2 linked regions of the Caenorhabditis elegans genome follow. The protein of the gene in region 1 purifies or fractionates together with the protein of each later gene. This does not show direct contact. Each region holds a gene or a part of one and is shown in the gene's direction. Other genes may lie near its edges.

The links.
Region 2: the proteins of lev-10 (region 1) and lev-9 purify together in Caenorhabditis elegans (affinity purification with a luminescence readout, with the first as the bait; one study listed by BioGRID). This does not show direct contact.

The regions. Positions count from the first base shown.
Region 1 is NC_003279.8:14,387,343-14,395,839, forward strand, and holds the start of lev-10 (CUB domain-containing protein), read left to right. Parts: upstream 1-2,990; 5' UTR 2,991-3,040; coding exon 3,041-3,116; intron 3,117-4,517; exon of another isoform or gene 4,518-4,664; coding exon of another isoform or gene 4,665-4,861; intron 4,862-5,982; coding exon 5,983-6,107; intron 6,108-6,204; coding exon 6,205-6,287; intron 6,288-6,415; coding exon 6,416-6,627; intron 6,628-7,759; coding exon 7,760-7,967; intron 7,968-8,017; coding exon 8,018-8,179; intron 8,180-8,497. Other genes in the region: eat-18 (uncharacterized protein), read left to right, coding at 4,665-4,861, 6,205-6,244.
Region 2 is NC_003284.9:6,286,258-6,294,887, reverse strand, and holds the start of lev-9 (Protein lev-9), read left to right. Parts: upstream 1-3,338; 5' UTR 3,339-3,360; coding exon 3,361-3,541; intron 3,542-3,606; coding exon 3,607-3,789; intron 3,790-4,338; coding exon 4,339-4,466; intron 4,467-4,518; coding exon 4,519-4,594; intron 4,595-4,663; coding exon 4,664-4,837; intron 4,838-5,214; coding exon 5,215-5,473; intron 5,474-5,527; coding exon 5,528-5,688; intron 5,689-5,732; coding exon 5,733-5,837; intron 5,838-5,884; coding exon 5,885-6,067; intron 6,068-7,842; coding exon 7,843-8,001; intron 8,002-8,043; coding exon 8,044-8,199; intron 8,200-8,244; coding exon 8,245-8,339; coding exon of another isoform or gene 8,340-8,348; exon of another isoform or gene 8,349-8,439; intron 8,440-8,495; exon of another isoform or gene 8,496-8,567; intron 8,568-8,630. Other genes in the region: mom-1 (Protein-serine O-palmitoleoyltransferase porcupine), read right to left, coding at 108-357, 422-611, 1,614-1,761. UniProt on the Caenorhabditis elegans protein: Scaffolding protein that is necessary to cluster acetylcholine receptors at neuromuscular junctions.

The DNA.
Region 1 (8,497 bases):
CCTACTTTAAAAAATATTAAAATGTTTGAAATGTGTTCCACTTTTAGATCGATCCACGTGGAGTCAGAAAGTCCCATTTCGCTTTTATCTTCGAAAAATGCGGGAATTTAGACGCAGACATTTCATCTGATTTCGCATGGTTAAGAGCGTGCTGACGTCACAATTTTTCTGGAAAAATATTCCCGCATTGTTCGTAGATCAAACCGCAATGAGACAGCCTGAATTTCTTTTTAATATTTTAAACGGTGCCATCAAATAATTCAAATACGGTATATTCCCAAAAGTCAGGATGTACACCAGGGGTGTGCGGCAAATTTGCCGAATTTGCCGTTTGCCGAGCTCGGCAAATTTCGAAATTTGCCGCACACGTCAAAAATTTTACAGTACAATTTTGACTAAAATTATTGATTTTTCGCCAAAAATTTAGTAAAATGACACAAAATTGAGTTAGTTTTATGCTTAAGCAGACATACTACACGGAACTAATTCAGAAACCAGATGTGTGTTAAGAATGCGGTAGTTTTGGTGTTCCAAAAAACATCAAAAATTATCAAAATTTTCCGAGTTTGTTAAGCACGGCAAATTTGCCGAATTTGCCGTGCTCGGCAAATATTGAAAAAAGAGATTTGCCGAATTTGCCGAGCTCGGCAAATTTTGAGATTTGCCGCACACCCCTGATGTACACTCAAAATAAAGAAACACTGCGTGGCGTATACTGCAGAAAACCTAATATTTAGGCCCCGCCTTTTTCTCGTCCACTCACGGGGAAAAGGCAAAATTCGCGACCCCAACCAATATCAGGCCGCCGACATCTCACGGGTTCCGCGCGCCGCTGCGTTTAACTCGCTGTGGGCGTGGCGAGCTGTCTCCGCCTGCTGCGAGTTAAACATAGCGGCGCGCGGAACCCGTGAGAAGTCGGCGGCCTGATATTGGTTGGGGTCAAAAAATTTTTGCCTTTTCTCCGTAAGTGGACGAGAAAAAGGCGCGGCCTAAATATTAGGTTTTCTGCAGTACACGCCACGCAGTTTCTTTATTTTGAGTGTAAAGTAGCGCCTACATGGATTTCTGGCTCCCCTCATAAATTGAGATGGAAGAGTTTGCCGAACAAGGCCATTTTGGCTCGGCCATATCTGGGGTAGAATTACGGCGCGTTGCGTGTCGCGTCGCGGCTCGATTTTAGTTGTAAAACTTAATGTAGTTGTCCGTGTGGAGTGCACGATTTTCCCACGCGTTGTCCAGGTCAATGGAGCGCGAAAAAATCAAAAAAAATCAAGTTTTGTTAATTTGAGTATAAATGGAATAAATATATTATCCCTCGAAACAAATTTAATGCATTCCTATTCTACTATCAGGTACTAGTGGCCTGGCAAGAAGGTAATATCAGACTAGCACAACGGTTCTTCAATTCCAAGACTCTTGTTATTTCCTTATACTTGTTATTTTTGGAGTTTCCATTTTCTCGTGCAACATCAGTAACAATCATATAAGCTTTAGTGCAATCTACACATTCATATTTCTTCTCCTTCTCCCCTCATCATCATGGATTAGACAGCGCACTGGTTACACGACTTCTCTTCAGAAGACATAATAATGGAATTCTTCTTTTTCTTCTTGCTTTTTCCTTCTTGCTCCCCCTTCTCAACATTTTCTGCATTTTTCCCGTCACATATGTTCTTCTCTGCCCCCTCGCCGCCCTCTCTCTCATAATAATCTATTCCCCGCTTTTTTGCGCGGAAGAGGGGACTCTTTTAGTTTTTCCCCTTGGAGGATACTATTTCCATTCGTTTCCTTCTTTCATTTTCGGAATTTCATTATTTAATTTTCTCGTCTTCTCAGATTGCAGTGACCCCGGTTTTCTCTCTTTTTCTCGAACTTTTCCAACATGTACTACTCGGTTAGGAAATGAGCTTTTTTATTTAAAAGGCTTATAGGACCTTTAGATAAAACTCCTTAATTCATAAAAAGAAAAGTAGCTAAGTTATATATATAACCCACCTTGTAATAGTGTAGTTAGAGTTTCTAATGAAAATCTAAGGTTTTTATTCTATATTTGAAGGATCTAGGTTCTAGTAGCCTCAAATAGAACCTGAGATGTATTTTGTGCCTAAAAACAAGATAGGATCATTCATACTTACTTATTTTATTTAGGGTACTCACTTAGGACTGAGTATTCCAATAGTAAGTAGGTTATTTTTTGGCTGAGCAGTGGAGCGTTTAATAACTGAATAGGGTCATTAATATAAACCAATGCTCATTGAGAAACCATTACTTATTTTTGACCTCCATTTTCTCAGAATTTGGTAAAATTTGGTGAAATTGTTGTGAAGCGATATTCTGCAAGTGAACTTTTTAAAAAAATGGACTGATGACTAGCCTAAAAATTGTTCTACTTATTGTATGCTTTATTATAAACATGATTTCCTTACCTTATATATATATATATATATTATTCGGTTACTTGATCATCTTATCGATCACATGTTTTGTCCTTTTTAAATCCTTTGATTCTTCTTCTTTCCATTTCTTTAAAACGTGAACGAATAAAAAAAAAATATATATATAACCTTATATAACCTTATATATATAACCTTATATGGACTGATGACTAGCCTTAAAAAATCGTTCTACTTATTGTATGCTTTATTATAAACATGATTTCCTTACCATAAATATATATAACCTTATATAATAATGCCGCACTCCAGGGGTGTGTGTCAAATTTCGAAATTTGCCGAGCTCGGCAAATTCGGCAAATCTACTTTTTTGAAATTTGCCGTGCTCGGCAAATTCGGCATATTGGCGAGCTCGGCAAACGGCAAATTCGGCAAATTCGGCGAGTTTGCCGCACACCCCTGCCGCACACCTTTGACCATCGATTTTTTGCATTTTTAGCTGATTTTCCGTATTTTTAATTGAACTTTTTCGAACATCTTGCTGAAATAGACTGTTGCACTTTATTTTAACGATTTTCATTAATAAATATTTTTCAGATAACACTCTTATTCTCCATATTACGTGTTCCCTGATGAAATGAATGAATATGCATTTGATCTACCTATTCCTACTGTCCATATTCGTTTCCAAGGCAGACGGTAATAGTAGAAAAACTATTTTTCGTGAGTTTTTTTTTTTTTGACATTTTTTTAATATGAAGCTTGTTGTAATGAGCATTTTGGAGAGAGAAAAATGGAAGAAGGGCATTTTGAGAGAACATAGGTTTTTCCAAAATATTTGAAGAAAATTTAATTTTTCGAAAATTTTGAAACACAAAATTTTTAATATATTTTAAAACAAATATTCAACTAGAAAAGTAGAAAGTTGCAAAAAGTTAATTTAAACAAAACATTTTAATTCCAGAAAATCCGTAAAATCTAAAATTAAAAAAACAAAATTTTCGATTATTTCTAGATTTTTTCCTAAATATTTTTACGCCTGATTTTTCACTTCGTTAATAAAATGTTAAAAAATAATTTATCAGAACAAAAATTTTCGAAAAACTGCACTTTTTGGAAATTTTTAAATATAAAAAAAAAAATTCTTTTCGAAAATCCAAAAAAAATTTTTTATTTTTTTTGAAATTGTTCCATAGTTCACTATTAATCAGAAAAAATTAAATTTAAACTCTATAATAAATTTAATATTCAAAACTATCGAAATATTTCAGAAAAATCGTCCAAAAATTCGAAAATCTTTGGAAAATTGGAAATTTCAACAGAAAAAAGAGCTTCGGGGTTTTGTAAGAATTTTGAAATTTTGAGGCTATAACTATCCGACTATATCCGACTCACCTCTTAAAAAATAATTTCAAAAAAAAAAATTTTTTTTTGGAAAAAATGTTTGGTAATTTTTGGAATTGTTCCCCTTAAATTTTTTCAAAAAAATGTTTTTTTCATAAAATTTTTCAAATAGTTTAAAATTCAACTATAACTTACTAATTTAAGACTGTATAATACAAAAAAATATGTAAAAATTTAATACTCGCCTGATTGTGAAGCCAACAGTGACCCAAAAAAAAAAAAAAATTTTTTCTAAAAAATGTTTTTCTCAAAATTACCAAATTTCGTCCAACTATGTAACACAATTCCCCTCAAATCAAACTCTTCGAAAAATGCTCAGACAAGCTTAGGAGCCTCGCAGCGCAAAAAGTATATCGAAAAGTGTGTGTGTGTCTGTGTATTTAAGTGGATTCTAAGTGGGGGAGAACTTGTTCAGCAGCCCCCTCTAGTGCCGTTTTAGGTAGGTATTGCTCCAAAATTCCCAAGAGGGAGACAGAATTCCAATCCATCACTCTAATCTTCTTTTTTCGTACACACACATCTAAGGCCCTCTTTTTTAGCATTTTGAAACGTAGTTTTAAATCCATCCCCGTCTCTTTTCCTCTATTCTTCCGAGCAAACTTTATTTTTCTCTTTTCCTAACTCTCTCCCTCTTAAATATTTGCTCTTATACCGCCTCCCCCAATACATACCCCCCCCCCCCCAAATATTCCATACCTCCCCCCCCTCCCCTACCCCTCACAATTATTTACCCCTGTCCCCTTTGTCCCCCCAGACCCCGACTGTGTTCCCCTGTCCCCCACTGTGTCCCCCCAGTCCCCCACTGTCCCCCCTGTCCCCCACTGTGTCCCCCCAGGCCCCGACTGTCCCCCCGGTCCCCGCAGAGCCATGCGAAGCCTGGAGCGAATCGTTGAGACCCGTATAGAACTTTTGGAATGGGACTCCAAGGAGACTAAGGAGGACTGTGCCAGATGTCGGGCTCTGGATTGTGATATTATTTTTGCCCTTTTATTCACTATTGTCATTGCCTGTTTGCTAGTTTTGATTATGGTGTTCTGGCTGAAAGGGGTCCTGCAGTATGAGGAGTGAGTTTTTGGTTTTACTTTTTTTGGGCTAGGGAATTCTTTATTTCAAACGGCTTTCTCCTGCAAATCGGCAAATTGCCGGATTTGAAAATTCCGGCAAATCGGCAAATTGCCGGATTTGAAAATTCCGGAAAATCGGTATATTTGCCGGAATTTACATAATCCGGCAAGTCGGCAAACCGATGTCAAACTAGTTTTTATCATGGTGCATCGATCGGGGAATGGGCGGCAATAGACTGTTTTCTGCAAATCGGCAAATTGCCGGAATTGAAAATTTCCGGCGAATCGGCAAACCGGCAAACCGGCAAACTGTCGATTTGCCGAATTATATGTTCAGAACAAATTATGAGCATACAACAAACTCGAACCTTGAAAAAGGATAATCTGAACCAGGGATGGGCAGAAAATTGGCAAATTGCTGAAAATTAAAATTTCCGGCAAATTGGTAAACTGGCAAATTGCCGGAATTGATAATTTCCGGCAAATCGGCAAATCAACAAACCGACAAATTGCCGGTATTGAAAATTTCCGGCAAATCGGCAAATTTCAGGAATTGAAATTTCAGGCAAATTAGCAGATTGCCGGAATTGATAATTTCCGGCAAGTTGGCAAATTGCCGAAATTGAAAATTTCCGGCAAATCGGCAAACCTGTAAATTGTCGGAATTGAAAAATTTCGGAAAATTGACAAATTGTCGAAAATGAAAATTTCCGGCAAATCGACACACTGCTGGATTTTGAAATTCCGGAAAATTGGTAAATTTCTTGGATTGAGATATCCGGCAAATCGGCAAAGTGCCGCATTTGCCGGAAAAACGGCAACTGGCGGAATTTCTGGCAACTTGTGGTTTCGCACATTTTTTTTCGGAAAATTGCCGGAATTGAAAATTTCCGGCAAATTTTCGGAATTAAAAAAAAATTGCCTTTTTTATAGTTCTGTAGTTGAACAATCGATGCACCATGTTCAAAACGAAAGGGGGGTTTCCGGAAAAATCGAAAAAAAAATTCTCACAAGTTGGTGGTTTTTTTTAGTCCAAACTAGGCTTTTCACACACACTTTTCGACAAACTTTCTGCGCGCGAGCTTCAGATACCCCTCACCACCCACCCCCAACCTTTCCAGAATGCGATCAACACTTTGACGAGTCTCAACCGGAAGGTGTCATCGAGTTCCCGAGCCTGCCGAAGCAGTTGGCGTTGAGCCATGGGGTGAACAACTCGAAACCAGAGCAGCAATATAATTTGCAAGTACGCGCGGGGGGATTTTAAATTTTTAAACCTCAAAATTTATAATTATCGAAAAAAAATTTAATTTAAAATTTCCTAAATTTCCCTAAATTTCCAGTGTGTATACACGTTTGTTGCGGGATCGAGGCAGCGTGTAAGGCTCGAATTCGACCATTTTCTCCTATCGGGTAGTTCTGAGAAGTGAGTTTTTTTCGCCAAATACACGGTTTGATCTACAAAAAATGCGGGAATTTCAGAGAAATCTCCCGAATTTTTCGTAGATCAAAGTGCAAATATGGCTCCCTAAAAAACCCGTAATTTAATTTCAGCTGTGATATAGAATATGTAGATATTTACTCTGAAGTCGAGTCGGTCGACGAGGATATTCTCTCATCCGCACTCGGAGGTCGCTACTGTGGTACTGTGGCGCCTCACGTTAGAATCAGCCTACGACGCGTCATGAAACTCGTTTTACATTCCCGTTCGACAAATCATGAGGATAATCATGGATTTCGAGCCAAATATTCGTTTATTCCAGAAGGTAAGTGTGGTCAAAATCGGACTATTTTTAGTCAAAATATGACTATTTTTTGGCCAAAAATAGTCCAATTTTGATCAAAAAATTGTCCGCTTTTGATCAAAAATAGTCTAATTTAGACGAAAAATTGCCTAATTTTGGCACAAAAATAGTCCCATTTTTGACCAAAAATATTCCAATTTTACAAACAATAGTTTGATTTCGGCCAAAAATAGTCCGATTTTGACCTTAAAATAGTCCGATTTTGATCAAAAATAGTCCGATTTTAACAAACAATAGTTTGATTTCGGCCAAAAATAGTCCGATTTTGACCTTAAAATAGTCCGATTTTGACGGAAAATAGTCCAATTTCGACTAAAAATATTCCGCTTTTTCAAAAAATAGTTTGATTTCGGCCAAAAATAGTCCGATTTTGACCTTAAAATAGTCCGATTTTGATCAAAAATAGTCCGATTTTAACAAAAAATAGTCCGATTTTAACCAGAAATAGTCCGAATTTGATCTGAAAATAGTCCGATTTTGAGCAAAAAATAGTCCAATTTTGATCAAAAATGGTCGGATTTTGACCAAAAATTGCCTAAAAATTGTGACTAAAAATTGCCCGATTCTGGCCAAAAATAGTTGGATTTCGACCAAAAATAGTCCGATTTTGACCAAAAAATAGTCCCATTTTTTACCAAAAGTACTCCGATTTTGACCAAAACATTGTCCGATTCAAGCCCATTTAATTAAAAATTTGCTAGTTTTTTTAAATGTTTTTTTTAGGTTTAGGATTGGGCTTAGGCTTAGGCTTATGCTTAATATTATGCTTAGGCATAGGCTTACGCTTAGGGAGAACAATTCCAACTTTCAAGGGATTACCAGAAAAATGGGAAAAATTGTGAAAATGTCACTAACTCGGTCCGAAGACCGTAAAAATCCCAAAATCTCATAAAATCCTTTCTAAAATCCCAACAAATTGCATCCGAAAATGCTCCTTTTCGGAGCAAAAATCCACGGAAAAATAAAATTTTTTTAAAAAAATTGATTTTGCGGATCACGAGAGTTGAACGAGAATTTTATTATAATCTTAAAAAACGATCAAAAACTGGAAAAAAAATTAATGAAAACTCAGCCATGATCCCGTTTATTCCAGACAAATTCATTGCCGGGGAGCCAGTTGGCGGCAAAAAGTGCAGCTTCATAATCGACTCTTCCGATCGTAAAATCGGAACCCTCTACTCACCAACCTACCCCGGCACTTATCCCCACAATATGCACTGCTCCTACCTGATGAAGGCAGGAAGAGGCGAACGAATCCGTCTCTTTTTTACTGATTTTGATATTTTCTTTGGCGGAGAGCAGTGAGTTGCAAATTGCCTTTGCAAAGTGGGAAACCTTGAATTTGTTGCAGCTGCCCTTACGATAGTGTCACGATATTCGACGGTCCGACACCTGCGTCGCCGATTATTCGGAAAGTTTGCGGGTTGCAGCAGAGGATGGAGGTGTACTCAATGGGTAATAGCTTGCTGATCCATTTCAATACGACACATCCAGCAAAGTCGGATCCGAGGGGGTAGGTAAAGTTGCCTTCTAGACCTTGGACATGCCATCTGCCAAGCCTCGCAAGCAAAGAAGGCCCTCGAGTGGTGAAGGAGAAAGAGGCCTGCCTTCACCTATCCTGGGCCAATTTTGCTAGAGGAGCATCGCAAGGGTCTGATCAAAATCTAGCCTTCAAGCAAAAATCCGGAAATCTGGGCACTTTAGACCGAAATTCAATCTCTTGAAACAAAATCCTAACCCTTTGCACCAAAATCCGGGCTTTTTGACCGAATTCTTTAAGACGAAAGCTGGATCTTTTAGATCACAAAATCCGTACCCATTAAGCCAAAAA
Region 2 (8,630 bases), on another chromosome or scaffold:
CATGGTTTAAAATTTTCTGATTAAAAATTTTGAAACGTATTTAACACTTTGACACTTAGAACTTACTAATAGTCTTACGACTTAGTTCCCAAAACTTCACAACAAACCTCAGATCCTGTCCACTTTTTGTCTCTCATTTTGAAAAACTGCTCAAAACTCAAATAGGGCCCGAAAATGATGAACGGTGGGAAGTAAATGTACTCAACATAACTGGAAAACTGAACAAATCGGAATTTGTTGCTATTCGCTTTTTCCAGATTGAAGGCAACCGTGGTCAGTCTCATTATATGGATCATCAAAATTCCACGAATGGACAAAAAGTAGTCTTCGGATCTGTAGTGTCGGCAGAAGTTTTGCCTAAAAATTTTTTAATTTGTCCCACAAATTTTACAAACGCTTGACTTATAAAAAAAATACTTACAATGCAATCAGAAGAGAGATGTTCCCTGCAAGAATGATGTATCCACTAAATTGTTTGATGGCCAGTGCAAGCGATATCAAACTGAACATGTTGTAAATGATAGCCGATTGTAGGTGATTTCTTGAAAACCACATAACTGTGAAAGTACTGGCGAAGACATGTACATAGACACGAACCGTTGTTGAAATTGCTACAAAAAGGGGAATTAATTTGCTAAAAGACTGAAATTGACCAGTTTTTGAAAAAATCACACAAAACTGATTTACTACTATGATTTCTTAAATTTTGCAACTATAAAAATACTCAGTAACTTTTGAATTCCCGAACGAATGAATGACTTGGTTTCGAAATTTTCACGTTTTCCTTCTAAAATAATAGGTTTAGTATGTTTTTCAATACATACATAATTTGAAACATCGGTTATCAAATTATGAAACATTTTTCTGTGGATAAAATTTTCTATCCAGTAGGAAACTCTGTTAATTATTTAGTTTGTTAATTAGTTTATTAGTAATTAGTTAATTATTTATTAATTTAGTTAATTATTAGTTAATAGTAATTAGTTAATTAGTTTATAAAACCGCACTACTAAAAGAGTATGCAGATGTAAAAACCACATCTGTGGTGCTAAAATGACCAGATATCATGTTAAAACTTTTCAAAAAATTTTAGAACCTTTTTTCTGACTGTCAAAATGTGGCAATTTTTGAGTTTTCGCCAATATTCGAGATAAATATAGCACTGTCGCATGCTCGAATCCCTACAATGTTTAAATATTAATGTTTGAAACAAGAACATAAAATTCAAAGGAAATTTTTTCAATAGACAACTTTTAAAGATGGATGCAGAAACTGAGTTTTTACCACTTATTGAAACAAAATAAGAAGTTTCGTAAAGTGCTAATATAATAGTTGGCTATTTTTGCACCATAGAAGTCGTTTTTAACAATTTCCGCACTGGCGTTACTCCACTTAAGACTACCGTCTCACCATGGAGCTCTTATCTCTAGCTAGATCAGTCTTACTTTGTGAAAATTTTAGTCATTTTTTTTTTGGCAAGATTAATAAAGCAAGCACATGTGTTTTCCAATTTGAACATAACAACAAATTAGAAACAAATTTGTTTGAAACAAAGTTTTTAAAACATTTTGTTAGGTATTTTTGTCTCAGTTTATATTTTTATCAAAACTTACGTATATGTTTGATGAATTTGAATGCAACGACCAAACATATCAACTTTGAAATTGTGAGAAATGTTGCATTTGCCACTTGTGTCGAGCACTCTCCAAGCGATCCATCTTCTAATAATTCGAATTCTTCATACCCGTGACCATTATCCATTTTCTGAAAATTTTTGAAATTGATGAAATATTAACGATTACCAAACGGCAAAAAAACTAAAAAGCTAGAAAAAACCTAGAATTAACCCAGAAAACCCAATTCAAACCAAAACAAAAACAACTGTCTGTACGAGTGAAATAGAGCGAATTTGCATAGTTCTTGCGTCTAACAAAAGGGGACAAATGTAAACGAGGCTACGCCGGAATGTGGGGAGAGGTCACACACAACAGATGTGCCTTGGACATGCAACCAAAGTTTTATGGTCGGATCGGTCAAGTGAAGTACATTTAAGCGTAACATGGTAAATCAAACAAATGGAACCAAAAAAAGTATAGTTTTGTTGGGGGAAGATTTGAGTGTCCCTAAAAGAATTAAAGTTTTATTTCGGAGATTGCGGTTCATTTTTACAACGGTCAGCACTATTGTTTGATGAGTTCATTTTACAGATATGTGATGAAATTACAAATTACATATTTAAAATGAAAAAAGACAAGATAACAGTTTTTGCAAAAAATAATGTTTAAGATCATCTCTTGTTTTCTCAATAATAGAGAGCAATAAAAAACCATTTTCCAAAAAAAAAAAAATGAAATTAGCTGCACTTTCTCGTCCGCGAGAAGCTATTTTTCTTCATCTCAACAGCAAACCAACAACTCGCAGAACACCCCCCCCCCCCCCGCTTCACAGGAACACCTCGCGGGGAGGCAACCAGTTTGTCAATGGGTGAGAGAGAAAATGTATGTATATTCACTTGCGTCTCTTACTCAAATGCCGTACGGGGGTATAGCTCAGGGGTAGAGCGCTCGCTTTGCATGCGAGAAGTCTGGGGTTCGATTCCCCATACCTCCAGATATTTTTTTATTTTTCAAAATGATTTTTTCACTTGTCCAATTTATTCCATTTCGAGAATGTTTTTTGCACTTTTTTTAAAATTCAACTATGGGGAAACAGTTCTGAAATAGCAAGCATTAATTATTGTTCTAAAAGTGCGGCGATTTGACAGAAATTTTCATTTTCGGCCATCTGCCGAAACTAAACTCAATTTGCCAAATACTTTTTAAGGGATTTTTCATAAGCAAAACATTTACAATTGTAACCTGTTTCCTGTTTTTTTATATTTTTCAGTCTACCAATTTTTTTGCAAAATCTCAAACTTCCACAATCATTCAAACCTAAAAGGCGATTTCCAAATAGGACGTTTGCCAAAAAATATGATTTGTCGCCCCTGCGATAAACTTGTATTTCTTCACTGATATTTCTCAAAATTCTCCCCTTTTTTGAATTCAAATTTTGGAGAAAAATAAAATAAAAAAATAAAGATTTTTCTGTAACCCTGTGAAAGTTGTGAAAACCGCAAAAATCACATCAAAATACCTTCACCTCTAATTTTTCAGCAGTCAGTTCCTATTTGCCACAATGTCCCGCAGCAAATAATTGATCAGACAAGCATGATACTCGAGCAACTTTACAATGGGAACCCTTGAAAAGACCCCAATCAATCAATACATTGCGTGTCAGCTGGTGAAAGAATGCCGTCTTGCAAGAACTCAAGCGGATTTCTCTTTTAAAATTTTCATAGTACCAAATCACATGAATTAAATGCGATTTCTACTACTACTCGCCATCTCCATTACCTACGCGTCGGCCCTATCTTGTCCGGAAGTTACTCTATCACAACGGCCGAAACATTGCAAAAAAGAGTGTATAGCAGACGAAGATTGTAAAAGAAACAAAAGATGTATGTGCGACGGAGAATGTGGCTTGAGCTGTGTGAACCCAAGTGAGTGATAAAAATATCTTGTCTATTGAGCAATATAAAAAATGAACTTTTTTGTTTTTATTCAGTTGCAATGTGCCACCCACTTCCAAATATTGAAAATGGATTTATACGAACTGCTGGTGATTTGCGATTTGGATCAAATGCAGAATATGGATGCAACAAGGGATATATACTAGTTGGTGCCAGTCAGAGAAGATGTCAGGCTAACAAAGAATGGAGTTCTTCACAACCTGTTTGCAGGTTACAATGTATTTTTTCAAGTTCCTTATTTAAAAAAATTATGTTTACGGGTTCAAAATAAAATAAGAAGATTTTTTAAGTGCACAAATAGTTAAACCTAAGTTTTTTGAAAAAACAATATAAAGATATAACAAAATTTATAGCAAGATAAACAAAAAATCAAATGCACTAAAAGATAATATCAAAATATCACCAATTTTGTGAAACAAACAATTTCAAATCTACTTTACTCAACGAAAAAAGATTTCAGCTTTTATCGAGCAGTTGATAAATTTAGTTGATTGGTGGCGGTGAGCTGTCAGCTGTCAAGTGGTTTAAAATTTAAAAAAAAAACGGTTAGGGGTATTCAGAAATAAATTAGCCTTACAAAAAAGGTTTTCACCACTAAAGTTCAATCTAACCAAATCAACTTGATTGAATACCAAAACATCGATCCAGAATATCTAGGAATTTTGTTTAAGAATTTTCTAAATTATGTGACTACAGAATTGCATGATTCCTCATCCAATGCTTTACGTTTCTTATCGACACTGCCGTATAATCCCAAAATATTTCAGTAAAATGCGGGCCACCACCGGAAATTCCATTTGCCGTTCACGACGGGTCTTCATTTTCCGGAGAGTATGACCTTGATGCTGAAGTTGCTTATAATTGCATACCAGGCTATCACAAATTCAACGCAAAAGTGAGACTTAAATCAAAATTCTCCATTTTATCTTTAAAAATAATGCTTACAGGGTCTTTCAATATCAAAATGTCTGTTGAATCGGAAAAATGTTGCACAATGGTTTGGACCTGATTTGAGATGTAAAGGTAAAACTTTGAAAATTTGAAAAAATGCGAAAAACTTAAACTTGCCCAATAAGTCAATGCAACTTTTAGCAAGAGCATGTCCGGATCCCGGAGATATAGAAAATGGTCTTCGAGAGGGAGATACATTTGAATATCCCCATCACGTCAAGTATTCATGTAACCCTGGTTTTCTTCTTGTCGGTTCGACTTCCCGTCAATGCTCCAGTAACGGAGAATGGACAAATGAGCCGGCTAATTGTAAAGGTACACTTTGAAAAAATTGAAAAAAAAAAACAATAAAAATGTTTTGTTGGTAGCCAGTTTGTTTTATTGAGCAACAAGTCAGTTTCGTTCGCTGGTGGCAACCGCAATATATCCACAGTAACCCTAAATCTTACAAAACTCTCTTGAGTAGAAATTGTGTGAATAGTGTTCCATGATCTGTGTGCGCGGACCACTCAAAATACCCAGAAAACGTAAGATGTTCGGGCGATAGTTATCCATCACGGACCTCGATAGTTGTACCACACGTTTTATATAGGCCACAAAAAAGATCAAAAATCAGAATACATAAGGACATACTGAAATACACTGCAAATTACCTATGTTATAATAAATTAACAACTCATAAACTTTTCCAGCTACTGAATGCTCTCGTCCGTCAAGCCCACTTCATGGAAAAGTTGTCGGTAGCTCATTGACATACCAGTCCGTTGTGACGTACTCCTGTGATCATGGTTATCGCCTCGTTGGTCAAGTTCAACGAATATGTTTAGCTGAGGGAATATGGGGAGGAAATGAGCCGCGATGTGAAGAAATTCGATGTTCAGTACTTCCAACCCTTCCCAATGGATACATTGAGGGCAGTGAAACGTCATTCGGAGCTGTCGCAGTTTTCAGGTAACGATTTTCCAAATCTAAACAAATTTATGTTTCTTAAATGTTTAAATTCAGGTGCTTGGAAACAATGACTCACGAGGGAGCGTCAAAGGCAAAATGCATGGAAGATGGTCAATGGAGTGCTCCGATTCCAAGATGTTTAGCTTCTTGTAGAGTACCACATATACAAAATGGAAAAATAAGAGACAAAAGCGAAGGTCAACTCATTGCGTCCGGTAGTTGTTTTTCTAAAGTTTAGAATAATTCATTCAAGTTTCAGGTTCCAAAGTGATTGTTGAATGCAATAAGCAACACGAAGCAAACATCGATGAACGCCTAATTTGTAGCAATTCCACATGGTCACATGTTCCAGTTTGTAGTCCTTGTAAGTTTAATTTTAAAATAGCATAAAACCACAGCTTTTCTTTTCAGTAAGCTGCCACAATTGGCCGCCAAGGGTTCCACATGCTCGAATTCTATTCTCGAAATCATCGCACGGCTCAATCGCCAAATATGAATGCAACAATGGTTATCATCCAAACAGAAATAATCAAATTATAAAATGTCTTTATGGAGAATGGACTAAAGACGGACCACCAATGAAATGTTTACCAAGTGCGTTACTCACAGGCCGAAAAGTGGTACACATCTGTCCAATTTTTCTACCGCATACTTTGACGTAGAGGTGTCAACGTGTTGTGGGCCGATCCAAAACTCAGTCGCAGGCCGACACATTACCACCTCTGATCTTTAGACGCATTTTTCTCCAAAAAGGGTGATCATTTGTAAATGATGTATCAAACCACAAGAAACATCATAATGATTGGATCAAACATTTTTTCCTTTTGCTCCGTTGCACTGACTACTTGCATTTGCGCTGATCACTTGCATTTGCACTGACCACTTGCATTTGCACTGATCACTTGCATTTGCACTGACCACTTGCAGTTGCACTGATTACTTGGATTTGCACTGACCACTTGCAATTGCACTGACCACCTGCATTTGCACTGACCAGTTGCAGTTGCACTGACCAATTTTAGTTGCACTGACCAGTTGCATTTGCACTGACCACTTGCATTTGAATTTCTTGAATTTGAGTTTATTTAACTAAAAGAAGAGAAATAAACAAATAAAACGAGACGAACCCTAAAAGAGTTCAACTCGAGTAAAAGTTACAAAAAAAGGAAATAAGATAATAGGGAACAGGTGAAACGGGGAGAAAGACGAGAATGGAGGTAAAAGTGTAGTTATAACCGGGGGATGTTGAGATGAATAAATTCACAGAACTGATATGGGGACATAAAAACCGTAACATTTTTGAATAAGTTGTTCCAGACTGGGATGATAAGAGCAAAGAAATGCGTGGAGCATTTGTCCTTCCTAACTAAAATCATTTGCACTGACCACTTGCAGTTGCACTGATTACTTGCATTTGCACTGACCACTTGCAATTGCACTGACCACCTGCATTTGCACTGACCAGTTGCAGTTGCACTGACCAATTTTAGTTGCACTGACCAGTTGCATTTGCACTGACCACTTGCGATTGCACTGACCACCTGCATTTGCACTGACCAGTTGTAGTGCACTGATCACTTGCATTTGCACTGACCACTTGTAGTGCACTGACCAAAATTAGTGCACTGACCAGTTGCAGTGCACTGACCATGACCAGTTGTAGTGCACTGACCAGTTGCAGTGCACTGACCAGTTGTAGTGCACTGACCAGTTGCAGTGCACTGACCAGTTGTAGTGCACTGACCAGTTGCAGTGCACTGACCAGTTGTAGTGCACTGACCAGTTGCAGTGCACTGACCAGTTGTAGTGCACTGACCAGTTGCAGTGCACTGACCAGTTGTAGTGCACTGACCAGTTGCAGTGCACTGACCAGTTGTAGTGCACTGACCAGTTGCAGTGCACTGACCAGTTGCAGTTGCACTGACCAATTTAAGTTGCACTGACCAGTTGCAGTTGCACTGACCAATTTAAGTTGCACTGACCAGTTGCAGTTGCACTGACCAATTTAAGTTGCACTGACCAGTTGCAGTTGCACTGACCAGTTGCAGTTGCACTGACCAATTTAAGTTGCACTGACCAATTTAAGTTGCACTGACCAGTTGCAGTTGCACTGACCAATTTAAGTTGCACTGACCAGTTGCAGTTGCACTGACCAATTTAAGTTGCACCAGTTGCACTGACCAATTTAGTTGCACTGACCAGTTACAGTTGCACTGACCAATTTTAGTTGCACTGACCACTTGCAGTTGCACTGACCAATTTTAGTTGCACTGACCAGTTGCAGTTGCACTGACCAATTTAAGTTGCACTGACCACACTTGTCGAGCCGTTTATCATTCAAATTTTTTTTTATTTTCAATAAAGTTTAGGTTGGTGTGAACACCCTAGCAAAACATATGGAACACTTCCTGGCGGACAAATACTTCTGGAGGGAATCCTTGGTGCATACGAGTTTCAAAGTTATATTCAAAAAGTAGAAGAAGGGAGAGCTATCAGTTTTCAGTGTGGGAAGGGCAATTATTTGATTGGTAACCTATGCATTCTTTCTTTCAAAATAATCGGTCTTGTAGGGCCCCCTAAGGCAACTTGTGTGAATGGTGAATGGATGCCAAAAGTGTCACCCAAATGTGTTTCGCAAACGCATCCAATGATTGAAGGAAAAATTCTTTGGGACCGAAAAAAACGAAGTTTGCCTGGCAGAGCCGTAAGAGAATATGTCGATGATGGTACTTTATAATAGTGATGCATTTTTTCAGTTATTTTTATTTCAGAACTATCAACTCATCGGCAACACTCGGGAAAATGTGGAATTGTGTCGGGAAAACTTGAAAGAATGATAATGCAACACTCTGACAATGGAGTCTCGGTCTGTTGAACATTTGTGCACATTTTTATACAGTGAATTGTTGCTTACTACCATTTTGAACTGTTCTTCTAAAAATCAACAATATAATTATTTTCTGTAATCAGCAAGATTTTTCATTTACTTTCAACACATTTCAAAGAAATTTTAAAAAAGTAATGGAGGTATGGGGAATCGAACCCCAGACTTCTCGCATGCAAAGCGAGCGCTCTACCCCTGAGCTATACCCCCGCATGATGGTGTTCTAATAAGCGACTGTGAAACGAACACATGACAAAATGTACACAATGCCTG